Linked DNA regions of Rhinolophus ferrumequinum. The protein of the gene in region 2 interacts with the protein of the main gene of each other region in a pairwise test. Links are inferred from orthologs where the notes say so. Each region holds a gene or a part of one and is shown on either strand. Other genes may lie near its edges. The genes, in order: ZBTB16, KRT40, MXI1 and CCDC185.

Region 1 (7,548 bases), on a different chromosome or scaffold from region 2:
ATCAGAATAAATGAAATATTCTGCATTAAAGACTCTGAGACTGGTCGTGAGTTTTGTGGACAGAGAACACGATAACCATGAATGAGTCCTATATAAGGCGAACACAGCAGTTTTCATACACTTCTCTCACATTAAGGAAGAAATATATGAATAGTACAATTTAGACTTGAGTTGTATTTCGGGACCATCGTGCTTCTGGTGGCAACTCCAATGAGTGTCATAACTATCACACACTCCTGGTGTCAAACAGCTGCCCTGGATCGAAATCTATAAGGATTGAAATCTGTAACTTTAAACACCTCAGAAGTTAAACAGTCAGTTATTTCAAGTTAAAAGGCACAAGAAAATGTTACGTACTTCCCCTCTTCCTGGCCTCTCTAGAATGAAACACCAAAGTGTTAGAAAGACCCCATTTCTGAGAAGGATTTGAGCATGGGTGCCCAGGGATTTAGCTATGGGACTCGCATCACTTGTAGTGGGAATTTTGCTGCTTTAATGCATGCATACTATATGGAAACCGCACCCCTTGACAGCTGCAAAATTTTAGTTTTGAAATGGAGGCCCTCTTTCTCAGAACAAAGCAGATTTCCAGAATCACCCCAAACTATTCAATGTTGGCGCTGGGCCTGTATGTTTGTGCTTATGTGTATCCAAAAGGGAAAAATGCCTTTCTCTTATGCGTAGATGCTCTTTCAAAGACAACACATTAAGACATGATGCCCAACAGCTGACAGCAATGGTTGCTATGTCTCACCCCAAAGCTTTGTGAGGAATCCCATAAAACCTGGCACATGGTTTGTGACACCCAGTGAAACACTGTGCTTCTTCCATAATAACCTGAGCCCTGCTGCCTGTCATTAAGGGACCTCTCTTATTAAGCATCTCTTTTTAAATGGCTGCCATCATCTGGTCCCAGTGTACATTAAATCCCATTATAATTATAAACACGCTTTCCCATAACATCCGTTGCAGATTTCATCCACACTGCCTACCCCCTCAGGGCATCTTTGCACTAATAACAACTCAGATTTGCTATTTGAGTTGACAACATTCGGTCCCAACACCATTTGCAATATGCTGGGGGAAGAGAGTAGAAAAAGCTTTCTCTTCTTCAATCATGAAGATTTTGGGGTCCTAGTGACTGAAGACCTCAGCGGCTAAAATAAATAACCTCTCTTCTTCTCCCTTTGAAAAGTCACTTTCTGCCCTACAGATGAGAGGAAGGGCATACACAGAACCTGGAAGAGAAGCCCAAGTGTGTAAATGCCACTAACCAGGACTCCACGGGGATGGGGGTGGAGAGGTAGCAATTAGTAGTCAAAAAAGCCATCCTCTTATTTGGTTTTCTCAGGTTCAAGTAACCAGAATCCACATATCACTTGATTATTTCCCCCCTCTGTTTTTTGGAGCAGGCATCTAAAGAAGGGACGTGATAGAATTAAATGTAAAAAAAAAAAAAAAAAAAAAGGCAAACCAAAGAAAACTATCAATATATACACTGAGGGCAAATTCGACTCTGCCTAATTTTTGACATCATCTGCATCTAGCTAGTAGATATCTGCAATAATGACCTTGAAGCATTGTAAGATCCTTTGCCACTAGAAAAGGGCACAACATGTTTGCTATTATCTTCCCCCAGGGGTCTCCAGTGGGGTAAAGATCTGAGAGTGACAGCCTGGTGCAGCCTCCAGTAGCAACCTGGAGTTGTCAATTGCAGTGGAGACTACTTTTTCCTTTCAGGGGCTTCACTGCCTGCACCTCTCCCTGAAAACACTTAATTCCCCATTCATCACAAGATTTTGGGGAAATGCAAAGTAGCTTCTTCTCCTAAAGGTAGGAGTCCTTGACTTATCTATCATGATAGGAAAGTTTACCTTTACAATTTAAAACTATTTTTCAAATAAGGAGTTGGAACAAAATGAGTTGCAACATTCCATTAACAATCAGAGTAGTCAAAACAACACTATAACCTTCTTCCTGGGCATCTGTTTAGTTGAAGTTTTACTGTAATTCAAAACTCCCTCCTCCACTTTTGCCTGAGATTTTGAGGAAGGAAGGAAAGTGCAGAGATTCTGGGGGCTCTAAGTCTATTTACCTGGTGGTTTGATTCAGTGGATAACTGTTTGGGCTTCAGCTTGGTGGCTGCTGCACAGAAGATGAGTAATAAGTGGAGTAAGATGAAAAGTAAAATTAAAATCCTTTGTTTCCCTTTTCTATCTTGCTAGAGGCTGTATAATTTGCAGGTTAAGATCAGGAGCTTTGTAGTTGGAATGGTCTGATTTAAAGTCTCAGCTCTGATGTTTAATAGTTCTGCAAACTTGGATAAGATACTTAATGTCTCTGAGCCTTTTTTCTCATCTGCAGAAATGGGGAAAATAATAGTACCTGTATCAATAGGATTGTTACAAGGACTAAATAAAACAACATAGGTAATGTGTTAAGATTCATAGTCAGTATTCAGAATGAGGTATTATTCCCACTGTCCCCTTCCTGTAAGATATCTTAGTCCTGATAAACCATCCTCTTCCACAAACTGAGCTCTGAAAGGCTGCTACCAGTGGGAGGTGTATGAATAAAAGTGATGAGGGAATAAGAAGATTTAGCAATGGAATTCCATCCACAGGTCAACTCATCTCTTCCCTTGTCTCCAGCATGACCTCCCTCAGGCTGAGGTCTCTTCTATTTTTAGGGACTGGTCAGAACTGATGTCCCCGCTTCCCTTACCACCCCTTTCAAGAAAAAAGTAAAAAGAAATTACAAATATACGAACATGAGAGAGACAGAGACAGAGAGAGAGAAAGAGAGTTTTCTCTTGTAATTTTCCATCCTGCTTGTTTTTAGGTGATGCCATATGAAATCTCTGAACTGGGGATTCTCATCAGCGTTCCAGGGACCCAAGGACATAGCTGTGGCTATAAATGGTGCCAGTTTTGGTGGTAGAGCTGCTGCCGCTTTATCTGGACCCAATAAACCTTATCAAACTGCCTTGCAGCCAGCCTTCAGCGCTAAGTGGAAATGCTTGGAACCCAATGCTGGCACTCAGCCCACAGCCTCGCCTGCCTTCCTCCTTTTGTTACCTTCTCCACCTCTTAAATTCAGACATTAATCTCTCTTTAACACTTACTAACAAGGGCTGGGCTTTTTAATAGGCAGAGTTTATGAAGCAAGGGAGATTTTCACATAGAGTATGGCATGGAAGGTGGGGGAGTCCAGGGCCATTGAGGAACTGTTCTTTCTCTCCCATTGTTTCCAAAGATTCCCTTTTTCTAACTTAAGGATTAATAGAAGATTAGGATCAAGGGCTAATTTGTGCTTCAGCTACTGCGCTGGGGAGGGACTGGTAGTGGATATGGACTGCAAGGCAGCAACCTTCAGCAGGTACCGCCTGGACAGAAGTGCAACAAGTTTAATGATTCTTCTATTGCCTTGGTGAGGCATGGGGGGGGGGGGTGTCTTTTCTCCTCTTCTGGCATCCTTCCCTTCTTCATCTCTTTCCAGACCAGTTTTCTTCACTTTCTTGAAATCCCTTTCATCTTACAGACCACGAAGACCCTAGCTAGAAAAATCGTCTATAATGGGGATTCCTCTTTATTGTTAAGCACAAGGCATCCCCAGGGCTTGGGCTTTCCCATGCCTGGGCAGGTGTTGCTGTGTACTCTATTAGAGGATAACGTTCTTCCTTCACCTGGGAGTGCGCTTCTCTGCCCTCTGCTGTCCTCTCCCCAGCACTTTCCCTGGGAGTAGGAGACAAGAGCGACACTTGCTGGGATGGAATTGCCTGTCTTTGAGACTACCCCATTAGCAGCTCTTGTGAACCCAGAACAGTTATGATTTGTAAACTCTGCCTCCTAGTGTTTTGCACCCCGAAGAGGATTTTTTGTCTCTACTTGGCTTCTGCCACCTTCCATAACCCTACAGTTCTTGGGGCCTGACTGTCCGTCTGGGCAGTGCGGAGGCACCGAGGCACACATGGGGATGTGATTATACGGAAGTCTTGTGGAAAAACTTTGACCGACCCGCTTGTCAGCGGCAGAATGTGGAGACTCAAGACTCCGTGATTGAAGCGCCGCGTTGCTAAGACTGCATGACCTCTGGGGCTGACTGTCCTGAGACCCAGGGATGGAGCTCTCCACCCCACTCTCCTTAGCGTTAGTCGGGCACCACGGCCTGCCTGCACGCAGAAAAGCGCTTGCCACCTCTTGCCCCCTACCTTCGCCAGGCTCAGGGAGAAGGCAGGGGGAGAAGGGGACTCTCTAAGGGGACTCTCGACCGCCTGAGGAAGGGCAGATTTCTTTTGGTTGCTCTACCTCCGGGTTAGTGATAAGTCTACCCTCTAAAGTGGAGCGACCAGTTGAGAAGAGGAAACACTTTGGGGGGCCTTCAAGCTTTCACCGTCCCCTGAAGCCTGCGCTGAGCAGGACGCAGTCCTTGGGAACTCTTTCCAACCGGGTTCCTTGGCGGGGGGGGGGGGGGGGGGGGGGCAAAGAAGAGGGCATGCTCAAGTCTGAGAGGGAGAAGAGTTTCTCTCAGGCCTCGACCTCAACCCCCAGGGGTCTGATAGCTGAAATGGGACGTCCACCTCCAACGTCAGATCCCCGCGGACCCTCTGGCACTTGGTTCACCACGGTCAGCGAAATCTGCGTCTGGAGACTTCTCGCAATCCGGCTGCTCATCGCCCGGAGGCACACCGCAGCCGGGAGGCACAGAAGGCCTGGGCTGGGGCTGGGAAAGCAACCTTCTAAAACCGACGTCGAAGTACAGGGGATGCAGTCCCCAGCCCGGAGCAAAAGTGAAAGGCGAGAGGACACACACTGAATTGGGACAAACAGTGAAGTCAGGGACAAAACTCCGCGCCTGGAGAAGCTGGGGGAAACAAAACCCGTGTCCAGTGGAAATTAAAAACCTCGGGGTTGAAGGTGGAGGCTGATCCCCGCACCTCACCTCCACTGCCCCCACTAGGCTTCCGAGTCCCTGGCTTTCCTCTCCACGATCTCCTTTCCTCTCCGCTAGGCGGGTGAGCGGCGGCCGCCAGCGCCCCAGCAGCAGCTAGATGTCAGGCGAAGCCCGGAGCGCCGCGCGCGGGTAAGGGAGGGGAGGGGAGAGAGAGGGAGGGAGCGAAGGGAGGGGAGGGGTGGGGCGGGGAGCGCGCGCCGGCTTGGCCAGTGCGGGGGGGGAAGGGTGGGCGGGCTGAGCTCGGGGACGGCACGGGAGGGGGGAGCGAAGGGGGGCAGCTGTGGGCAAGGAGCCCGGCTCGGCCGCCAGCACTAAAGATGGAGAGGCGCCGGGGCCTCGTAGGGGAGGGGGCTCGGCGTTGACGTGAGACGCGGCGGAGGCGCCGAAGCCGGTGGTGATTTGCTAACCTCGCAGCAGAGAGGAGTTGAGGGCGATGAGAGCGGGTACTGCGAACTGCCGGGCGATGCCGCCGCTGCCGCCGTGATACCGAGAGCAACAGTTCCCCAGCAACACCCTTCCCCGACACTGGCACACACCCCCCAAGAGGCACGCACACCCACCCCACAGCGCCCGGCTTGGCAGCGGTGAGTGAGGGGCTAGGGAGGGGCGCACCGCCCAGCGAGAGACGCGCGCCAGGGCGCCCCTGAGGCTGAAGAGGTCTGGGGGCGCCCTCGCTTCAGCCACTCGGCCGCTGAGCTTGTGCCTGATTTTATTCGGCTTGTTCCCTTCCTGCTGCTGCAGCCGTCGCCACCGCCGGTTGGGGGTCGACTAGAAGGGGGAGCCCTGGCTGTCAGCTTGGGCACAGCTGCTACCCCAACCCTTCCGCACCCGGGCACGGTCGGGGTGAGAGGTAGGGGCAGAGCGGTGTGTGGGGGCTGAGGGCGCGAGCGGAGGGTTGGGGATCGGGAGGCTTTGTACCGCCGGGGGCCGGCGGAGGAGCCGGGAGCGGGTGGGTGCTCATATGTATGCGGACCGGTGCGCGGTCGCGAGATAGGGTTGTGGTTTGTGTGTTTATTCGCCGGCCGGCTGGGAAGCCAGAATCGGGATCCGTGGAGTGGATCTGGGGGCGGAGGAGAGCAGGAGTGGGACTCACTTGGGTGTTGTTTTTCTTCGTAAAAACGTGGTGAGCCCTTTTTTCCTTGGTTGGACTTGATTCCCCCTGTTTAGGGGGGAGGGCGGCCGTGGCGGAGCTCCGGAGGGTCTTCAGGGCTCCGGGCCCTCCTCGGCTCTCGGCGGGACCGGCCGTGGCGCCGGAGCTCGCTGTGCGCTTCCGGCCGTACTCGGTGGGTGTCCCAGCTTTGCACCTGATGCGTTCGGGATGCCTTTCCCACCCCGGCGCACCGGCGGCTCGCACGCGCAGCCCCTGGAACACTCCCGCAAGCGCTCAAAATGCGCACGGTTTCGCTGGCCCGCCGACCCGCTGGAACGCACAGACGCACTGTGCAACGACTCACTCGTCCGCTCCACGGGACGCGCGCACCGTGCCTGGGCCGGGCAAGGCGGCTGCTGGAGGCTCCAGCCCCGCGCGGCCTGTGACCCTGCCCGTCGCTCCCGGGGATCACGGCCCTGGGTCGGACAGGGAAGGCTGGCGGATCCCTTCTTGCCTTTCCTCCCACAACTCTCTCCTTTGCTCCCACAACTCTCGGTCCGGCTTTTGTGCTTTCCCTTCGCTGCGGGGTGGGTCCGCCTCCTAGCCGCTCTTGCCCCGGCATCCAGCCCGCCCGGACTCTTGCTTTTCGTCCGGGTCTCTTTCGCTTTTCCTCTTCCCTAGCCCGGCTCCCGTTCCTTCTGCTGTCTGGTTCCCCGGGAAAAGTTGCTTCCCCAAGTTTGCCGAACACGTTTCCAACTCTTTGTGGGGGTGGCTGGGAACTAGGGGTGTGTGAGAGCGCGATCGATCCCCGGAGCTCGAGCGGGTTAGCGCCGGCTTTTCACCGCGGCGCAGGGCTGGGCGCTGCAGTCAGCGCCGGCCTGAGATCGCGGGCGCTGAGAGGCGAGTCGGGGGGGACGGCTGACCGAGGGCACCCTGATTTCCCTCAGGACCCAAGGAGCTTTCTTGTGGGAAGGAATTCGGGTAGCCCAGCTTCCATTCTTTCGATTGCTCCCTCCTAGTTTTCTGAAACCCTGAAGTCTGCGGGAAAGCGCATAGTGGTTAAGCAGGGATGAATGGCCATCCCATCCTTGATGGCCTTAGTCCCCACTCCAGGCTGGGCAGCAAAAGTGTCTTGATTAGCAGTCCTGTTAACCCTTTCTGCATGAGATTTGTGGCTCTGGAACCCATAAGGCTCCTTCTGGGGGCTTAGGCAAGTTGTTTTGGAAGAGTGAAGGAGAACCCCTGCTTTGCTTTGCTCCTAGGTCATTTTACTGAAATACTGGTCACAGCAAGGCAGAGGCTGGGAAGGACGTGGCCTGTGAAGTCTTTTTAACACTCTTTAAACAGTTCAGAGTCCCAGGCCCTGTTACTGATCCTGAACTGCGCCCTGGGAGCGGCCTTTGTTTCGCAGCCCTGTCTTCCCTTCATACTGGTTGTAACTCATACCATAGAGGCTGGTGCCAATATTGCTTCTAGCACCTCCAAGCCATGTCCAGCATCAGTTG
Region 2 (7,016 bases):
CAAGGTAAACAGAATAATAACTGACCAGCACTAGAGAGATAAGACCTACAAACTACAGGTGTGCTGACGTGCAATATTCCCCAGCAGGGCTGGTGTCGGAATTCTAATAGCAGAAGCCTTTGATAATACCTCATAAAGCTCCTGTTCCAGTGACAAATAGCAAGAATAATAGGCTCAAATTTAGCAAAGAACTCAAATAAAGGTTAATTGGGAGAATAGAGACTGTTTACAAGCATCTAAATGTCAAACCAATTAAAGGATAATGGATACACTAACATAAACAAGAACCAGGAAAGAAGCCTTCTGGTTGGACCGACACCCATTAGGGAGGGTATATAAGAACCCCAGAGCAAGGAGAGACAGGATCACCTCAGAAACCTCATCTGTCTGGAAACAAAACCAATAAAAACCACACTCCCACCGCCATGGCTTGCCGTGCTCCCTGCTGCTGCAGCGTCCCCACCGGCCCTGCCTCCACCATCTGCTCCTCTGACAAATGCTGCCGCTGCGGAGTCTGCCTGCCCAGCACCTGCCCACACACCACTTGGTTGCTGGAGCCAACCTGCTGTGACAACTGCCCCCCACCCTGCCACATTCCTCAGCCCTGTGTGCCCACCTGCTTCCTGCTCAACTCCTGCCTGCCCACCCCAGGCCTGGAGACCATCAACCTCACAACTTACACTCAGCCCTGCTGTGAGCCCTGCCTCCCAAGCTGCTGCTGACCGATGGCTGCTTCGCCCAGTGCCTGACATTGAAAGAGTCAACCCAGAAGCTTTAGTGTTCGCCTGTCTCAGTACCTGCAACTCACTGACTTTGCTTCCGAAGTTGGAGCAAGGATGGCACTATCACTGACAATCCCCTACCCCCCAAAAAAACCAAGAGACTGTCGATGGCCACGTAGCAGATATCAGTAACCAGGGGCAATTTGAGCAGGAGGATGCCTATGGGTTTCCCAAAGCTGTTCAAGTCCTGCATATTAAAGTGTATCTTTCTTTGGGTATTTGGGAATTCTGTTTTTAGTCTTGGGTGGTATCTTCCTGGAAATTAAGGAGCTTTTTCATGATCATCCTAATAAATTTTACATCTCTGGCATAGCACAAATGTCTACAATTATTTTGTTTTCTGTTAATTCATTAAATGTATTTTCTTAACTCCAAAAGTCAGCATTTTAAGCACTGCATTTTAAGAGGGCATCTGCAAAACTGAGAATGGTGGGCGTACAGATAAATATTTCTTGTTTGTAATAAAACTAAATGGACTTGCATAAAAGATGGTTTAATATATTAGCATACTTTGAAAATAAACTTTCATTGACTTTCCCTCCCCCAGAAAATGGTTTAAGATAGATTGGAAATTACTGAACATGATCTGAAAAGTAAATATGATATGACGTATTAACTAATCCAGGTGACTTAATCTATTTATGCAAAAAATAATAATATAATATTCATTCAATAAACATTTATTGAATATCTATTATATGTCCTGCATTATACTGTCCCTGATCAAAATGCGCTGACAGTCTGGCAGGTGAGGCAGATACATACACAATACCATTCATTCCTTCATGCAATTAACAATTATTTATGAATGCCAGGCATTCTAGGATAATTTTTTTTAAAAAGTGTTTTAACAGTGGCATCATTAAAGTGCTGTGGTACCATAAAATTCAGAACAATTAAGAAATTAAGATTGCTACCATGGTGATAAAGAGAAGAAAGACATAGTCAAAGACAAGCTGACTGGAGTTGGTGGTCAAAGGGATATGGAAGAGAAGAGGGTGTCAAAGAAAGATTAGACAGTGGAGTTAGGTCACCAACTGAGTATGGTAACAGAGGAGAAAACTAAAAAGGGAACTACTGTGCTCTACTCTAGACATGACAAGTTTGAGGCACATGTGGCATATTTAAATAGAGTTTAGGCAGCTGGAATTTGCACAACAGTGTTCTAGAGAGGAAGATGCGTGCGGGAGGACGCAGAAGTCTGTGTAAAAGTTCTTATCAAGTATTTGCAGAGGGCTGGGCTGCATTCACACAGGATAAAATTCCAGCTAGCAGAGAGTGGCTGCTGGGGGATAAAGAGCTGAACGGAGATACCAGAAGTCATTCAATACTAACAGATATTGAAGTGCCAGCCCATCCAGAGGGGACAAAGCTCTGGGAGTACCTCAGATGTTTAATCAATGTTCCAGAAGGACATACGAAAAGAGTAAGGGCCACAACCTTGAGTAAAGAACACACCAAATTATACCTGATCTAGAAAAGTCTAAAAATACCAAGCCTGAGAGGATCAAAAGGACCTTCCAGTGATTTAACTTCCTGTCAGAATAAAACTCAACACCCAAAACTTTGCAACATAATCAAGACTTCCTAAAATACATCATCTAGAATGACAGCATATAATTAAAAATTGCAAGACGTGAAGGAACAGGAAAATGTCATCTATAACCAAGAGAAAAAGTAGCCAATAAAAGTAGGTCCACAGATACATAGATGTTATGATTAGCAGGCAAGAATTATCAGTTATTACAAATGTTTTCATAGATTTAAAGGAAAAGATGAAAAGATGTGAAAAGAATAGACAAGATAAAGATCTAAAGTAAAACTTTACATTTTTATTTAACAAATTAAATTTAATTATTTAAATTAAATAAGAAAGAAGCAAATGAAAATTCTAGAACTAAAGAATACAATCTTAAATAAATAATTCAATAGGTGACCTTAATAGCAGATTGGAAACTGCCAATTAGGGGTGAAGTCAATGAATTAAGATAGATCAAAATTATCAAAACTAAAAGGTAGAGAAAAAAAGATTGAAAAAAAATTAACAGAACCTGAGCAGCCTGTAGGACAGTGTTAAGTGGCTCAAGATACATGAAGTCGTTGTTCCAAAATAATATGAGAAAGTAGTGCAGAAAAATTTGGGTTTGGAAAAAGGTTGAAATTTTTCCAAATTTAGTGATATATTTTATTATGTAATTTTATTCCCTAGTTCCTGCATTTTTAATTTCCATGAAGTTGGGGACTTTAAAAATACATACATACATACGAGATTCCATATCTCAGAAGAAAAGCTTTCTGTAGCTTCATTGCCCCTACTCTAAAGTGTAATCACTGAGGGTTTCCCAAGAGACTCAAAGATTAACCTTAGAATTTATATTTCCCTCTTATTAGAGATACAGGTAAAAATTAGTATCCCTGATCTAAAAATGAGGAATAGAAAATATGGGAAAGGTAAGTTTCAGGATATCAAACATCACAGCTCCAGGTCTTGATAACCCAAAAAGGTCTGGTATCCCATTTGTATTTTGGCCTGGAGGACACAAATTATGACCATCAGTCATGTAGAGTGACTTTTCAACTTCCACACAGGCAGATATAATTTACACACACACACACACACACACACACACACACACACACACACTTTAAAGCCAGCATACACCTCCCTCCTCTACCATGTGAGCACAGCAAGACCAGCACTGCAAAGATTGCTAATCACGTGGAACATTTTATGGTGGTGGCACAAACAAATAAATAGCATTCAATGTGTTGTAATATTAATTTTAAAAGGGGACATAAACAATTCTCAATGCTAGCATCAAAATCTGTGCGAATATTATTTTCCTTTTTTGTAATCAGTTGTAGCTATAATTACTGATTGGCCAAATTTTCTCTTTCTTTCCTTATTCTGTCAAAATGACAATGCTTCCTATGAAGATTTTCTGAAACAAGTATTTTATCCTACTGGTACAATGGGAATGGGTTTTTATTTAGTAACCTGAAGTTATGCTTCTTTTATGAGGCATAAAACTCTTCCTCAGCAAATAAACAACACTAATGAATGATCATATGAAAACCGGCACCAACAGCAATAAGGAAAACATCAGGTGCATTCTGTAAATACCCATTTGGGGGGGCTATATAAAAGTCCAAGCAGGGAAGGAGACTTTTGGAGTTAGGCGACTTGAGTTTTGCCACTGATCTTTGTTCCTCACTTCTAAAAGGATGCCTTCGGACTGTTCCACCACGTGCTGCTCGTCTGAGTCCTGTGCCAGGGTTTCTGATGGTGCAACTGCTTTAACCTGTCCCGTGGAAACCACTTGTCTCCCCAGCAGTGCCTGTGCTACATCCAGATGCCAGACCCCTCGCTTCCTATCCAGGTCTCACTTGCCGACAGCTTGCCTCGCTCCATGCTACCTCTCTGGGAGCTGTAATATTCCGTGCTCGGTGGGGCACTGCGCTTGGTGTGAGGATGGGGTGTTCAACAGCAGTGAGAAGGAGACGATGCAGTTCCTGAATGACAGACTCGCCAGCTACCTGGAGAAGGTGCGTGGCCTGGAGGAGATGAATGCAGCACTGGAATGCCAGATCCGGGCACAGTATGAAGGGGACATCCCACTGGTGTGCCCCGATTACCAGTGTTACTTCGACACCATTGAAGAGCTCCAGCAAAAGGTCTGGTGTCTCACTGCCCTAATGCTCCGCCTTCCCAAACTGTGATTTGTTGATCTTTATACTAGAAGAGGCTGTCCTGCAGAAGGAAGCCTGGGAAAAGGGACTTCTGAGTGGTAATGCGATGTACAGGAAAGGGCACTGGACTGCAAGTCAGGAAATGCCACTAAGCCCAGGGCTGCCACTGCTATACTGGGTGACCACAATAAACTCACCTCTAGACTCTACCTTCCTCACCTACAGAGGAAGGAAAAATGGAGTGATATCTAAAATTACTTATGTAGGTAACACTGTACAGCTGTATTATTTTTATCATAAGATGAAACGTCATCTTTTTAATCATATAATTTTATCTAGTAATAATTTTCTTTTCTTACTGATGGATTTTTATTATCATATATGGGGATACAGTCATAACACAAACTACTTATGGAAAAAAGTTTAATTGAATTCACCTGCCAAGAAATACTGCAAAATGTCTTGGGTCATTAAAAAACTAAACCTTTTGATTTCTCTATTTCATTTATAAACTGGCACTCCTTTTTTTTTTCATGAAGTGACATGGTTAACAAGAAAAGCAGGCAATAAGCTATCTTATACTTTCTTACAAAGACTTTTAAAAGATAAATAATGGCATAGCTGTTAAAAGAATAGATATTTAGATTTTTCTCAAAGAACCATTTATTACTTGACAACTTATTCCCAGATCTTGTGCACGAAGGCAGAGAATTCTAGACTCGCTATACAGCTTGACAACTGCAAACTGGCTGCCGATGACTTTAGAGCAAAGTAAGTTTAATGTAAATTTGAAAATAATTTATGGTTACACCTCTCTCTCTCTCTCTCTCTCACACACACACACACACACACACACACACTCACACACACACACACATGCGCATGCCACAAATATTCTCTGTATGATATTTTTTAAGCTAAGAATGCTCACAAAGCTCAAATTGATTATTATTCAGATGTAGAAGAAATTACAGCACATGGCTTCCTTGAGTCCATGTGTCCCAGCGCCTTGCCCAGTGTCTAGCAAAGTAAGCACATGCCTCTCTTGCTATGAAAGGTACGAGTCTGAACTGTCCCTTCACCAGCTGGTAGAGACTGACATCAGTGGCCTGCGCAGGATCCTGGACGAGCTGACGCTGTGCAAGTCGGACCTGGAGGCCCATGTGGAGTTTCTGAAGGAGGAGCTGCTCTGCCTTAAGAAAAACCATGAGGAGGTGAGGAACATGGAAATTGCCAAAATAATGTAAGACTGACAAATTAAACTGACAGATTTCATATGTGTATATAAATTGAACTTGGGTAGATGTTGCTAAAGCTGGAACAAAATTACTGAAGGCACTATTACTATTCAGCCTGCTCATTCCAGTATGTCTCTGAGTATAGCCGTAAACTGGCCCCTAGCCAGTGCCAGATGAAAGAACCAAACTCTTCACCGGCCATCGCTTTTGTGGAGGTGGTAACTCCACAAATGGCTTTCCCTGGAGGCTTTATGCCATGCTTAACTCTAATCCATAAGGTAAGAAAATCAGCCTGATAAACACATACTGTGAAACCATTTCAAAAAGGCCATAAAGAGTCTGACAATATTGGACCAGTATTTTTTAAATATTCTGCATCAATAAACTTTTTAAAATCACATAATATGAAGTATATGATTATCCTATATTGATGAATCTAAAATGTGAAAAACTGAATGATGTAACAAAGTACATTTTCCCTTTGAACATCTGTTGATGAAAATTGCAGCTAGCATTTACTGAGACCTTACTATAAGCCAAGGACTTTTATAGGTGCTTTATGTGCGTATTAACTCATTTATCGGTCACTAACTCTGTGGAAAAGATAAAATTATTATACCCATTTTGAAGATGAAGAAACTGAGTGATGGAAAGAGATTCATCCTAGGCAATCTGAATCTAAATCCCATATTTGTACTCACTACTCTGAAAAACAAAAACAGGATATCATTAGGATGTCAAGGTGATTTTTTTCCTCCACCACTCTGTGACATTCTTTACTTCATTGCCACTTTCAGGAGGTCAACGTGCTTCGTGGACAGCTTGGTGACCGACTCAGTGTGGAGCTAGACAGTGGCCCCACCATCGACCTCCACAGGGTCCTGGATGAGATGCGCTGTCAGTACGAAACGGTGCTCGCTAACAACCGCAGAGAAGCGGAAGAGTGGTTCGCTGTTCAGGTCAGTACCTGGAGCGGTACAAAGACAGGCTTCCAGACCTCTGCCCTCTTTGCGTTCTCTCATCATGCCTGTGTTTCAGATGGAGGAGCTGAATCAACAGCAGCTTTCCAGCGCAGAGCAGCTGCAGGGCTGCCAGACAGAGATCTTGGAACTGAAACGCACAGCCAACACTCTGGAAATTGAGCTCCAAGCACAGCAAAGCCTGGTGTGTCAGGCAAAGAAGGCTCTGATTTGTCACTGAAGAATCAGGCCCTAAGATACTATCCCCTCTTCCATAATTCAAAGGAGAGACCCACACAGCTCATGTGGCAGGAAGTCTGAATCTCCAATTTGCAAGGATTATATTT
Region 3 (7,212 bases), on a different chromosome or scaffold from region 2:
GCTGGAGGTCACCCTCGCCTGCGTGAGCTTTTGGGGAGGGGGAGAGGGCCTGAGGCGGGGTCTCTGTAGCTGAGCCCGGCACGGCGCAGCAGCCCACGCTCTCGGGGAAATCTGGGGACCGTTGTCATCACGTCATGCAGAGCCAAACAGCGGCGGCGAAAAGAGGCAAGAGAGCTAAAAATACTCCCGCGGGGAGCCGGCCAGAGGAGAGGGGGGCAGCGGGGCAGAGAAGCTGATTACGCACACGAAGTTGACTTTTAGTGGGGCGCTGAGGTTCCGTGTCCCTCTTGGGGGCTGGGGACGTGCAGGGCAGACGCCTCGGGAGAGGGACCGGGAGGCAGACCCCTGGCTTTCTCAGCCTCGGGAGCCAAGCTCCGCTGCTGCTGGCCCGCCCCGCGCGGGGCAGCCGGGCCCGGCGCTCCGGGCCCTCTGCTTACGTGACTGGTGGCCACGCCGGAGCCCCGGCACGGGGTAAACAAGGAGGTGGCGGCAGCCAGGGCGGCCGGAGGTGGGGTGTGTGGGGGCAGCCGAGGTCTCCGATTGTCTGCGGGTGCGAAGGGGTGACGGGACGCGGTGGAAGCTAGAGCAGCCTCTTTAGTACACCTCGCTGGGGGAGGGGGGCAAGCCAGGTTTGCCACACACACTGCCAAGGTGCCCTCTTAGGGTGCACCCCTCGCCAGAGCCGGCGCCAAGGGACAGACTCCGAAGAATCAGGGACCCGGGCGGGGGGCAGCTAAAGAAATCGCGCCCCTCCCCCCCTCCAACAAAAGCAAACACACCAAACAAAACCACGTCTTCAGCCAGCTCCACACCAGCTCTGGCTTTTCAGAAACTATCCTCCTGACGAATACACACTCCCAACTCCCCCCTCCGACTCCCCCCCCCCCCCCGCCAATTATCGCAATCTGATTCGGGTACTTAGCCGGCGACGAGCCTTTCTCGAAACCCAGGCAGGCACTCTGAGAAAACAGGAGAGAAGAGAAAGAAAAGAACGCACCACCGACCTCCCAACACAAATCCTTGTTTTTTTTGCCTTACAGCTTCTGCACAATTGCACTGCCAACACACGCTTACTTTAACCCTGGAGGACTGGCGTGTCGGTCAGCTAAGGTGTTTTTGTGTTTGAGGGTTGTTGTTGTTGTTGTGTTTTGGGGGGAAGAGGATGCAAGATCTGACACGTTGCAATCGGACCATTTTCTCTCTCTCTCTCTCCCTGTCGTCTCATTGATCTTCCTACTTGTTCGGACAGATTAAACAGACTGGTTTTCTCTAGTCTGTCGGTCTGTCTGCCCCGGCCCCTTCCGCCTTCTCGCAGCTACGTATTATTTGTGAGGACCGCGCTGGAGACACCGCACACGCGTGCCCCCATTAGGGCGCAGAGTCGACTGCTGGGGAGGGCTGGGGGACCCGGCTGGCAGGGGCAAAAATGAAACCGACAAATACAAAAAAGGAGGCCAGGCCGGGGTGGGGCTCCCAGCAACCACCAAACCCCCACCCCACAACGCATCGCTCCCCCACCTGAGTCTGGGAGTGGGGAGGGGACGGTAGAAATCCACCAGGAAGGCGTTTGCCTTCCTAGCCCTGTGCGCTCGCTTGGGAGCCGTCTCCCGGAAAATAAAGAAACTGCACACAACAGCCCACACCTTCTTCCCCAACTATTGTTTCCTGCGAGATCCCAAAGTTTCCTTCTAGCTGCGTTCCACTCGCCAAGTTTCCCTGGAGGACCACGGCTCCGGGGCGAGCTGCTGGCGCTGCTTGGCCCTGCCGGCCTGTTTCTTGGGGGGAAGGGGTAAGCGGCACCCCAGGGCAACAGAGGCGCAGGGGCTCTGTATCCGAGGACGCGATGGCCTGAGCCCAGCTCTGCTGAGACAGGGGAGGAAAAAGCGAAGTAGACAGGAGGGAGAAGCAGAGCCAAGCCAGCCCCAGCTAACGCCGGGAAGGGCTTTTGGTGGCTGTTGTTATTGTTGTCGTGTGTGTCTGTGTGTTTTCTTTCTGGAATCGCTGAGCTCTGCCTACGGTTTCCAACTTTCGGCTTCTAATCCTCCCCACCCCACCCAGAAACGAGCGACAGAAAAACAACACTTGTCTGCCCGAGAAGGCTCCGGAAAAAAAAAAAAAAAAAAAGGAAGAAAGGCGACCTCGAAGAGATGAGCTCTTGGCTCAGTTGTCAGCAAACAACAACACCCCCGCTCCTCCGCCGGGAGGTCCTCCCAGCCTCGGGTAGCTGGACAGACACACCGACAGGCCCCCCTCTCCCCCCGCTCGTCTTTGTTACATCTTTAGCAGCTTTGTGCGTGCGTGTCCTTTCTCCGGTGTCATCGGCTTTACTGCCGAGGGCTGGATGTGAGTTGGGGGGAGGGGGCGCGGGCCAAGCAGGCGACAAGGGTCGCCCAAGTGGGCGAGGAAGAAAAAGCCGGGCGCAGAGGAGGAGCGGGGGCCCCAAAACTTACTTTTGTTTTCTTTCTCGATCTGCTCCAGGTAGCTGGCGGCCTCGAGCAGAATCTGCACGTTCTGCAGAAAAGTGTTGATGTGCTTCTCCATCGAGTTCTCGCTGGTGTTGAAAATGTCCGAGAAGGGGCACCTGAGCTTGGTCCCCGCGGGCTCCTCCGGCTGGGCCGGGGGCTGGGGCGCGGCCACTGCCGGGGGCGCGACGGGGGCCAGCCCGGCGCCCTCGCAGCGCGCCTCCTTGCGCGGCCGCCCGCGTTTGCCCATGGAGAGACCGGGATCCACTGAGCTCGTCCTCTTCAGGGGCTACGCGACGCGGCGGAGCTCCGCGCCCCAGGGGAGACCCGGCTGGCTGGAGCAGAGGAGGCGAGGAGGCGAGGAGGCGACCTGACTTCCCTAGCCTCGCTGCGTGCAGTTGTGTGCTTGAGTGTGTGTGTGTGTGTGTGTGTGTGTGTGTGTCTGTGTGTGTGTCTGTGTGTGTGTGTGTGTGTGTGTGTGTGTGTGTCGGTCTCGCAGTAGGTCTGTGTGTATGGGAGATTGAATGAACCTACAGGACAGACGGAGGCGCTCTGGCGCCTGGGTCCTAGTGCGAGCCTCTCTCCATTGGATCGGTCAAAATAAAAGGTGGAGACAAGAGAGTCAGGGACCGCCCCTAGTCGGTCCTCGCACCCTTCCCCGCCTCTCCCCTAAATTTACCAGTGTAGAGCGCGGGATGAAAAAAATATTCGATGTCTCTGAGTGCACCTGCATAAAAACAAACTACTAAGATACTTTTTTCTTCACATAAAAATAATAGCTCGTAAAGTGCCCAGCAGAATGCTTGGCACATAGTAGGTCCACAGTAAAATGACTTTTTTTTAAAAAAGCCCAAAATAATCATCACAACTAACCTGAAGTTTCCTCCCCGAATACACACACACACACACACACACTCACTCACTCACTCACAGAGGCAAGGCCTTGTGCTTTCAAAAGGCCAAATGAAATTCCCAGGCCCACAAATCCGGTTTACAGATTTACTCACCCTTTCTTTCTCCCTTCAAATGCAAAGTTATTTTCCAGGAAGGGGAGGAGATGTAAGCATCCCTCTCCACTCTCCTCTTCCAAGCCTTAGTCCAGCTGTGCAAAGCTCACACTGGGGTGTCACCACACCTGGCTCCCTTTTATTTGACAGAGAAGCAGAACTGGCAGCCTAGGACAAACTACCCCAGCTGAATTCCACCTTTTGGCTCTGAAGACCCCTACCCCAGCTGGCATTGTTTTCACTCTGCTGCTGTCACCCAGTCAGTCTGCAAGAATCCTGGATGTTTTCCTGGGCTAGGAAATGTGGTGGGAGTCAGGGGAATATTTGAGGACCTCTGGGGAGTGCAATAGAGAAGGGTTCAAGTCCCAGCTCTGCTGCATACAGACTGTGTGAGCTTGGGCCAGTCCCCTAACCTCTCTGGCCTAGGTTTCCCCAACCGTGAAACCTCTGATAAGATTCTTATGCTGATTCAATTATATCTGCACTGAGCACACTGCGTGGCCCCTACTAGTAAGATATTTTTTTCCAACCTAGACCCAGACTGCAGCCTGCGTCCCCTATTCACATCCAACGGGGAACAAGCTGCAAGAAGCAGGACTCTTCCGCACTTCGTTGGAAAACATCTCTGCAACAAGCCCATCTAAATACTGTCACCTTGCAAGGCCACCTGGAGCTTTCCTCCAGGGGAACCATTTTCATAGAAGACACGGCAAATGCTGCCCCCTGGAGTTGTGCCACCCAGTCACCCTGCTCAGAGGCAGCTTCATGTACATTTGCCAGGAAGACTCTTACTGGAAATGGGAACTTTTTGAAAAAAAGGAGAGAAAGTACATTTCTTTGTAAAACTCTCACTATAAAACACTTAGCATACACACACCCTCTCAGAGACTTCAAAGAAGTCTTTTGTGCTTTTAGAATACAGCAGGTCCTCAAATAACGTCATTTCAGTAGTTAGTGAGATGCTGCAGGAACTTGACCCTTGTTTATATCATTTAGCCTATGGAAAAATTGGTTTCGTTATAAGTCGTTTTGTTTCAAGCTGCAGAACCTATAGATGGCATTAAGTGAGGCTTATCAAATACTAATAACATGCAGCTGATTTGACAGGAACAATTAGTAACTGGCATTTTAAAGCCAATGTATTCATATTTTGGACCATAATATAATTATACTACACATACTCTGCTTATTTTCCATTTTGTGACAAATTTTGCATGGCTGATCTCTGGATCTTTTGGCTAGGGTAAGATACAGTAAGTGCGGACTTATTGTATACTATAACATGCTGCTGATATGACAAGAACCATCAGTAAATGGCATTTTAAAGACAATGTATTCTTAAGAGCTGTGAAATAAAAGTTTGCCTTCCATTATCACAACAATTACTGACTTTTTTATTCCTGTCAGAACCACAACCTGAGTTATTCATATTTAAAAGTCTATAAATCTCTAAGGGCTTGGGGAAGGTACAGTTTCAAACAAGTTTTATCGAATGCCATTTTGCCAAAACTGGTGCTTGTGCGAAACAGCTATGATCTCCTTTGTCCCAATGTAAAGTGATAGCAAGACAATGAACCAGTGAAGCCCAGAGAAAACCTTGGTTTCGTATTAATTCCCCGGTGGAAGGATGGGCCAGTGTGCACATACGCAGTCCTGCCACCTACATGTACGTATAAATACAGCCCCCCAAGACAGGCACGCCCCACGCATGAGTGCAGGGTCAGTGGTAGAGTGTTTTCTAATTATTTATTTATCCTTGTTTCATCTCTCATAGGTCTGTGAGCTTCAGAAAGCCCAGTGGGAGTCTTCAAGCTGGGCCATGGATCTGACCAAAGCCAAAATAAACAATGGCTTGAAGAAAATCTACAAAAAAGTGCTGATTTGCACTATTCCCACAGTTGGCCACAGCCCCCACCATCATTCCCATGGAAAACACCACTGCTGGTGCCAAATCAAGTTTTTCCCCCATCATAGTGGCATTGTTTTTTGTTATTATGTGAGTTCTTAGCATCAGACAATGGCACCACAAGAGACACAGTGGAAGCAGGAGAAATGCCTTTTTGTTTCACAAAGTCTATACTATTGTGCCCTGGAGCCTCACATATAGTTTAGTTGTATATATTCGTTTTGGTAGCATGTATGTGGAATGGTGAATGTGCCAAGTGGAAGCTCAAAGCCTCTTGCTTATATTTCTTCAGAGCCCACCAAGTGCTAAACCATGTTTGCATCATACTGCTCTCTCCCTCCTCCCCTACCCCCGCCCCAATTAACAGATTTTTAATAAGAAAGTTGGCCCAATAGAAAGAGTGGCGGTTCAGGGGTTATATCATGGGACAGGCATCCAGGATGCTGGGTTACAAGCTCAGCTCCATTCCCGATTAGCTTTACTTCCCAGGAGGAGCCATTCAAACCCTTTGTACCTCACTTTCTCCCAGGCTTTGCCTCCATAAATAAACAGGCCTCTTTGGAAGCTTGCTGCGAATCTCTGCAGAGAACAGGTAGGGGATAAAAAGGCAGGTGGCCAGCCTGATCAGAAAACTCTTTGAAAGAAAAGCAGTGACTTCTTGCCATGCCCAGCAAGGCCAGCCACGATCCTCCAGAGGGCCTAAAGTATCCCAAGTGCCCGCTCATCCTGGGTCTTGTTTACCCAATTTTCTATTCTTTGTTCAACCTATTTGCCTGTTTGGTAATATTTTTCCATCAACCTTGTTAGTATATTAAAGCAAGACCACTCTTTCTTTTATTTTCCCCTCTTTCCCCCCAGACATTCTATACTCCTACATCAAAGGAATTGTTTTGTCTGTAATTGTGTCTTCAGGTACGCAGAGGCTGCTTAATTACTGAGATGGCACTAGGTGAGTGGCCCCAGACCTCCTCGTCCTGCATGCAGGCGGGAAGCCCTTCCCTGTCCTGGATGGACATCTTGGCTCTCCCGGGCTCTTCAGCCTTCCTCTTCTTCCTTACCCATTCTCTTCTCACTAGTCCTTTCTGCTTCAGTCTGTCCCTCCAACATCTAGCCTTTCTTTGGATCTTGCCAGCATGGCTAGATGAGGTTCTTCCCTGCTCTTTGACCCGTGGTCTTTGTCCTCAGGCTTGGTAAACACCATCAAGAGATCTTCTGTACCCTGCATTGTCACTTAAGTCTTCATCCCCAGAGCTTTCTTAGCCAGATTTTTCCTGAGCACCTTTTCCTTTAGAAAGGGATCATCCAGCAAGAGCTGAGGAGATGGCTCAGGATTCCTTCTCTCCTTGGGAGTCTTCATCTTGCCTTCATCTCGGAGAAGGGAGAAGTGGCTTCAAGGAAAGTCCAAGGCTAGAGTGTTAGGGACTATAAGACACAAGCAGAAGGGCAGGAACAGGAGGACTGTGGGACTCTGCCTCTCCCAGTGGCTCCCAGCACAGCCTCGAAAGTGCTGACCAGGCCTATTTCCACCACTCCCCATGCCTCCCCACCCCCACCCTCACCAGTGAGTGTAGACATGGCAGAGGATAAATAGCCTCTGCCCTACATTGGAGCTTACCCGGGTGTCACCTGCTCCTGAGGCATTATCTCTGCTCTTCTGGACTCTGCCCTGCCTTCTCCTGGACCTCTGAGGCTGGCAGGCCCTTCCTGTCTTAGACAACTCCTGGGCTTCTCCTATGCAACGCCCAGTACTTACAGGGTTCATTAGACTATGAGCTCATCAAGGACAGGAAGTATGTCTCGCTCCTGCTGGCATCCCCAGCCCCTGGCACCTGGCACA
Region 4 (6,560 bases), on a different chromosome or scaffold from region 2:
TGTTGTGTTCAAATACCATCTTGACAAATAACTAATATAAAAAAGAAAAGCATTGACATATTTTACTTTTTTCCATAGTAAATTTTTGAAATCCAGGGTGTATTTTATCTCGATAGCACATGTCAATTGGGACTATCCGCATTCAATGTGGCCGCTGGCTGCTGTATCGCACAGAGTAGCTCTCGCTGATTTCCCCCTTTTGACCCATCCAAGAACTAGAAGCTTTGCTAAGAGATCGAATCTGAAGCCACTACAGTAACTACTAACAGCCGTTCTGAGGAAGGGCCCAGAGCCCAGTTCTGTTCCATAAGTTAATTTGAATTGTGGAAGCAGAGCACATTTTGCCGTGTTTTCCAAGCTTCCAGCAAATGAAGAAACGAGGCCCAGGTCTTCATTTGGCAGAAGTCCCAAATTCTGGGGCCGCCAGTGAACTACACTGAGGATTTTTCTGCCAAATAAAAAGGAGGCTGGTGGTTCTTAGTATCAAGGGACTGCTTGGCAGCTTAACATTTGCAAAACATCTCTTTCATCTGCCTACTGCAAGAGCTGACAGTGGCTTCTGGGATTGTCATCCTCCCAGGGGTCAGATGCTAAAGATGCTGGTTAGAAGGTTGGCCCTGCTCCCGCTGCCCTGCTCCAACCACCCTCCCACTTCCCCCCCAGGCCCCTCAGAGAAAAGCTGTCTCTTTCCCGTTTGTCAGTCTCCTCCACATATTCTGTTTGCTGTTTTGTGTGGGGGTTCCCTTATTACTACATCTTTTTTCACCTGATTTCCAAGATCACTCTTTTCAAGGTCTCCTAGAAGGAGACCTCTTGTCACTGGCACTCACCATCTGCCCAGGCACCCAGGTGAGAAACCCTCTTTCTCCAGATGGAACTCATCTTCAGATCATGGTCCCTCGATCTCCGAACAGTCCCTTGAATCCATCCCTTCCTGTCCCCCTGCCACGGTCCAGGTTTATACTTCCTGCTGGCTCACCCAGATTAGTGAATCAACCATCTAACTGGCCACTGTCTCCAATTCCCCTCCCCTTACTCCCCAGTTTATCCTCAACACTGCTGCCAGGGTAAGATTTCTAAAATATAGACCCAATTGGGTAATTTTTTTGGTTTCAAGACTTTTACTGACTTTTCACTGCCATCTGCACAGTGGTTTTCAATGCTTTTTATAAGCAGAACCTTACATTTTTTCAATGTGATGAAACCAAGAGCCCCAGGATACAAAACCTAAAATCTGAGCTGCTGTGGGGACAGAGGGTCAGGGCAGAAGCAGGGACAGAGGCCTGAGAATCTGCCCTGAAGTTCTCAAGCCCCACATCCTATGGGACCCATGGCAGCTGTAAGGAATCCCGGAGCTCCCTGGAAAGCTGGAACGTGCAGCCTGGCAGTCAACGCGCTATGGCATCAGGGTCCAGCCCACCTTCCTTTTTCGCTTTTTCGTGAAACTCTCCCCTCCCACAACGGCTACTCTATCCCGAATTATGTCTTGGTCCTCTGCTACTCTCACTCCACCCAGTCTACACGTGCAAGCTCTCACACAGCTATGCTTTCTCCCACACGACACTGCTTCTCTGTGACAAGAAATAGCCTGGCACTGGCCAGAGCCCCATTTGGTTTTGCAAAATGCTTGGCAGAGCCGTAACCAAGAGAGATGACACTCAGGTATCAGCACAATTCAGTTCATGCCTCCATATTTCCTAGCTTAAAGTGAAATGATTCCGTTTCGAATTTGATTTAATTTTTTTAGAAGTTGCCTCCTTATACAAATGACAACCACAGATAACTTCTCTAACAATGGTCTGAGTGGCGCTTATAGAAATCTAGGGTAGAAGTTAAAAAGGAGAAAGGACCAGAACACAGCCTGTTCTATCCCTCAAGATATTAGTATTCACTCATACAAAACACAGCCTTACCGACTCTCAGCCTCATGGTCGTTGGAAAGTAGGGGCTGTGAAGGTAAAGAGCGACCAGCGGGCTGGATATGTCAATTACCTGGATGGGAGGGAGCCTATCACAATGTATACATCTATAAAACCACCACATTGTACATTTTAAGTATCTTACAACTGTGTCAATTATACCTCAATAAAGCTGAACGCCCTTCCCCCCCAATAAAAAAGAAATCTAGGGTAGAAACAACTTATCCTCAGCTATAAACGTGCTAATGACCACATCGGAGATCCCACCCAGGCAGAGAGGGCTCCTGGAAGAGGAGGGCTCAGCTCCTCTAGTCCAGGCTGCTACCACCTGGCTTCAAGGACCTGGCCACCATGACACTCTGGTGTATATCTCATCATAATTTTCTTAAAAGCATGTCATCTTAGGCAGCTCAGGCTGCTATAACAAAACACCCCAGACTGAGCGGCTTCAACAACAGATGTTTATTTCTCACAGTCTGGAGGCGGGGAAGTCTGAGATCAAGGTGCTGCCTCCATCCATTCTGGTAAGGGCCTGCTTCCCAGATTACAGACAGCCACCTTCTGGCTGTGTCCTTATGAGGAGAGAGAGGAAGCTTTGGTCCCTTGGACATTAATCCCATCTAAACCTAATTACCTAGCAAAGGCCCTGCCTCCAAATACCAACACGCTAAGGGCTGCTGGGGCTTCAACATATGAATTTGGGGGGACACAAACATTTGATCTATAACACATGCATCCATTCAAACTGCATTTCCTGAGAGGCAGCACGATGTCATGGAAAAAGAAGTGAATCTGAAGTCAAAACTCCCGCCAGTGACATTGTGCTCTTTGGGGAAATCAGTTAACATGGCCAACTCTCAGACCCGTCTGAAGCAAACGTCAATTCTGTTGGGCCCACACAGCTGCAGTTGCTGTGAAACTCCAAGTAGATGTGGGTAAAGAAGACAGGGGTGAGTCAATCTTCATTTTTCTTCTTTAAGGAGTCACCCTCTTTGAAGAATGTCAACCAAAACTGTTCCCGCGTTGCACCTCAGAGAAGGGAAGTGACTTAACCAAGATCCACAGTGCAGGATGAACGTGCAAGAGCCTGGGGGCCGCCCCTCGCTAGCACATTACCCTTCACCTAAACTGTTTTAGTAGCACCTTAAGCCCATTCTTTTTTTCTTAAGCTAGGAATCCACAGAAACTTTCGTTAACCCATATATTAAGTCTTACAATTTTTAACTGAAGCCTAGCAGGACATCAAAATATTTGTTTAATGCATTAAGGTGCTAAGCTCTTGACACATAATTTCGTCTGACCCTCAGGACGGCTCTGCAATGCCGTGTGTTATCATCAGCCCTTCGTCCATTCCACTTTTCCAGAATTTGAGGGTCAGGAAAGGCAGGTAACTTGCCCAAGACCACACGGGTGGAAAGTGGCAGAGGTCATTCAAACTCATGTTTGCGTGACCAAATCGTTTTTTTCCCAATAGCCTAGGGTACCTCAACAAGGAAAAATAATCTCATGAAATTAGAGAAAAGGGTCAAAAATATTTTTTTTTTCAGAAATGTACACACGACATTCACATTTTGACAAAAGCAGGAATTGTCACGTTAGGGGAAAATGGACAAGTCTTTTTCCTGTTCTAAAGTTTAAAAAGTAACCAAAACACACTTTGGATTTGCTAACTTAAGCAGGCAAAAAGGTTGTACATATTAATGTGCTTCCACAGCCGCGTACTTTGCAGACTCCATATAGGTACACAGAAGAAGGGGTGGTGACTGAGGCTAAGCCTGGCTCAGGGGATTCCACCCCCCGCCCCGACCCCCTCGATCCTTCCCTCCACATTACATTCTGGGGTGACAGCTTCACTCAGGTCCTTTTAAAAGCCTGCTGCTTTAAAGTGTATAGATGTGAGATCAAATTCCTGCCTGAAATGCTGGTGGGGGTTCACTACACACCCTCAGCTCTTAGGGTCACCCCTGATTTCCTACAGCTCCCCTCTACCCTGCACCTTCCCCCGGCCTTCTACCCCTCCCACTGCCCCCATCGCAGTACGAATGCTAGGGAGGCAGGGGTGGGAGAGGGCCGAGGGCTGCAGGACCCTGGCGACTGGGGCATTGTGAAGTGGCCCTAGCGTCACAGGCGCCAGGGATCCCTGCCCCAGAGGGCCGGGGGCGGGTCTCAGCAGCACCCCCTGGAGGCCGCAGCACCCTGGCTCATACGCTGCGCGCGCAGGGAGGGAACATGAAGGGCTTAGGCAACTTCTCCTCGCTGCCCTACCCAGACCTCTGGGAGCCTCCGCCGCTCGGCGGAGGGCGCGCGTCCTCCTCCTCGCGGCTGCGTGGACCCAGACCCCAGACCCAGCCGGCGCAGGGCTCCTGGGCTGGGACTCCGGACGAGGGGAGTGAGGTTGCCGCGGCCTTGTCACCCCCGCACTGCTCGCCCACCCTGCGGCCTCGCCGGCGCCAGTCACCCCACAACTCACTGCGGGAAAGCCATTGCCTGAGAGAGATGGCCCGGAAGCCCCCAGACCGCACCAGGAAGCGCGGGACCCGCAGCCGGCGCCTGGAAGATGCCTGCGGGGAGCCAAGGACCCAGCCCCACCCTCTGGGGAGAAGTAGGTGCAGGCCAGCCTGGCCGCAGCAGCCCCAGCTGTCACCCCAACGGCCCCAGTCCTGCCAACACTACCCCCCAGCCCAGGGAGATTCGCCCCCACCGTATTCCACGGGTGCTTACACGCCCCCGAGTGGAACTTTCAGGGCAGAAAAGGGACAGAGTGGAGACCCATGGGCAGTGCCGGTCTACAGAGGTCAAGATTGCTGTTCCCTGTCCTCAGTCCCCACAGAGAAGTCGTCTGCGCCCTCTCAAGCGTTCGCTTGCGTGTCCACCCAGAGGAGGGACAGTAGTGATGGCATGGAGTTATTAGCCGGCCAGTACTCCCAGCCCTCAGTCTCCAGAAAGGAGAGGCAGAGCCAGCGCACCCAGATCCTCAAGAACAAGCTGGAAGAGGCGGTAACGTCTTCCAGGGACCAGAAGATTGTGGCGCTGGTGCTCACCCGTCTCAAGAAGGCCCAGAGGATGCGGGAGCTGCAGCAGCAGGCGGCTGCAGCCTGGGAGGAGCTGAAGCGCTCGGACCAGAAGGTCCAGATGACACTGGAAAGGGAGCGCAAGCTGCTACTGCAGCAGAGCCGGGAGCAGTGGCTGCAGAAGGAGCAGCGCAAGACTCGCCTGAGCGGGGAGCAGCACGTTGGACGGAAACAGGACGGCCACGCCAAGAACATGGTCCAGCAAGAGAACCAGTGGAAGGCGCAATCAGAGGGCCCGGAGACCCAGCGCCAGGAGAAGCTGGAAAGGGCCCGCCCCGAGGCTGATCACAGGAAGCATTGCCAGGTCCAGCGCCAGCAAGAGCAGGAAGAGAAGGTGGTGCGGCACCAGCGGGAGCAGAGCAGCCTGGAGGTGCAGAAGAAGCCGGAGCAGGCCTGTGACAAGAAGCAGCTGCACCCCACCGGGGGCCAGAGGAAGGTCCAGGAAGCCAATCTCAGCTCCCTAGTCAATTACCAGGCCCGGAAGGTCCTCATGGACTGCCAGGCCAAGGCTGAGGAACTCCTCAGGAAGCTGTCCCTGGAACAGAGTTCCCAGTGGTCCCAAGAGATCCACCAGGGCCTGATTCGGGAGCGTCACCGCGAGCTGAGGGAGAAGGCTCGGATGGAGGAGGAGCAATTCCAGCAAGTCAAGTGGTGTGCGGAGCAGCTGGCAGAGCAGAGGAAGGTGCACAAGCAGCTGTTGGTGGAGCTGGCGGACCAGCAGTTCCAGCAGGACAGGAGCAACGTCCACAAGAACCTCAGGGACCAGGAACAGCACATGCAAGAGCTCAACATCCTGCGGGAGAAGAACCATCACATCCTGAAGCTGAAAGCCGAGAAGGAGGAAAAGTGCCACGTGGAGGGCATCAAGGAAGCCATTAGGAAAAAGGAGCAGATGGAAGAGCTCGCCCGAGAAAAAGATGCCAACTTCGAGGAATTCCAGAAGATTTCCAGGGCCTCCAGGAGGGACAACGTGGGAGCCAACAGACTCTTTGCTCAGCTGGACCGGGAGGCCCAGCTCCGTGTGGGTCAGCAGAGAGGGGGCTACTGAGAACCTGACAGAGAGAGAGAGAGAGAGAGTGAGAGCTCACCGCCCAGGCGGCTGGAAAGACATCTGGTGATGTGATTCCATTTATAATCTGATTATAAGGGAGCATTGATAGTAAAAAAATTATAAAATAGCTACAATTTCCTCTCGTGAACTAGTTTGTCCATTCACTTGGGTCGTTGAGAGGGTGAGGGATAGACGTTTGGGAATTTTAGGAAAATTACTTGCCTTTGTGAATGTTGACTTAAATAGAAACGATGCATTTAGCTCTCAAGTAATCTGAGAAGCACATATCGGGCACATCTTGGAGGAACCAGAGAAAAATCTACAGTAGGAGAGATTGTTCTATGTCATGGTTTTTTCCTCTCCCAGAATTTACGAAAGGGTGAAGTGTGAAGTACCAGTCATAAGAAATCTCCAAGAAGAAGAAAAAGAAAAAGCATGTAGATTTGGGATCCCTGCATACTGCGTCCCCCCTTTAAACATGAAAAGTTCAAAGGCTCTGAAAAGGCCTGTAGTAAAGAA

What was found.
Region 1: the proteins of KRT40 (region 2) and ZBTB16 interact in binary tests that used the Homo sapiens proteins (3 or more experiments, as listed by UniProt). The two-hybrid records come from large-scale screens. The link is inferred for Rhinolophus ferrumequinum from reciprocal best matches to the Homo sapiens genes KRT40 and ZBTB16.
Region 3: the proteins of KRT40 (region 2) and MXI1 interact in binary tests that used the Homo sapiens proteins (3 or more experiments, as listed by UniProt). The two-hybrid records come from large-scale screens. The link is inferred for Rhinolophus ferrumequinum from reciprocal best matches to the Homo sapiens genes KRT40 and MXI1.
Region 4: the proteins of KRT40 (region 2) and CCDC185 interact in binary tests that used the Homo sapiens proteins (3 or more experiments, as listed by UniProt). The two-hybrid records come from large-scale screens. The link is inferred for Rhinolophus ferrumequinum from reciprocal best matches to the Homo sapiens genes KRT40 and CCDC185.

The regions. Positions count from the first base shown.
Region 1 is NC_046294.1:83,543,419-83,550,966, forward strand, and holds the start of ZBTB16 (zinc finger and BTB domain-containing protein 16), read left to right. Parts: upstream 1-4,533; 5' UTR 4,534-5,082; intron 5,083-5,211; exon of another isoform or gene 5,212-5,537; intron 5,538-5,648; exon of another isoform or gene 5,649-5,803; intron 5,804-7,548. UniProt on the Homo sapiens protein: Acts as a transcriptional repressor. Transcriptional repression may be mediated through recruitment of histone deacetylases to target promoters. May play a role in myeloid maturation and in the development and/or maintenance of other differentiated tissues.
Region 2 is NC_046304.1:37,223,537-37,230,552, reverse strand, and holds the start of KRT40 (keratin, type I cytoskeletal 40), read left to right. Parts: upstream 1-4,007; coding exon 4,008-4,457; intron 4,458-5,160; coding exon 5,161-5,243; intron 5,244-5,529; coding exon 5,530-5,686; intron 5,687-6,507; coding exon 6,508-6,669; intron 6,670-6,748; coding exon 6,749-6,874; intron 6,875-7,016. Other genes in the region: keratin-associated protein 3-3, read left to right, coding at 426-722. UniProt on the Homo sapiens protein: May play a role in late hair differentiation.
Region 3 is NC_046299.1:17,050,889-17,058,100, forward strand, and holds the start of MXI1 (max-interacting protein 1), read right to left. Parts: upstream 3,010-7,212; 5' UTR 2,713-3,009; coding exon 2,451-2,712; intron 1-2,450. UniProt on the Homo sapiens protein: Transcriptional repressor. MXI1 binds with MAX to form a sequence-specific DNA-binding protein complex which recognizes the core sequence 5'-CAC[GA]TG-3'. MXI1 thus antagonizes MYC transcriptional activity by competing for MAX.
Region 4 is NC_046310.1:12,729,189-12,735,748, forward strand, and holds CCDC185 (coiled-coil domain-containing protein 185), read left to right. Parts: upstream 1-4,148; coding exon 4,149-6,038; downstream 6,039-6,560.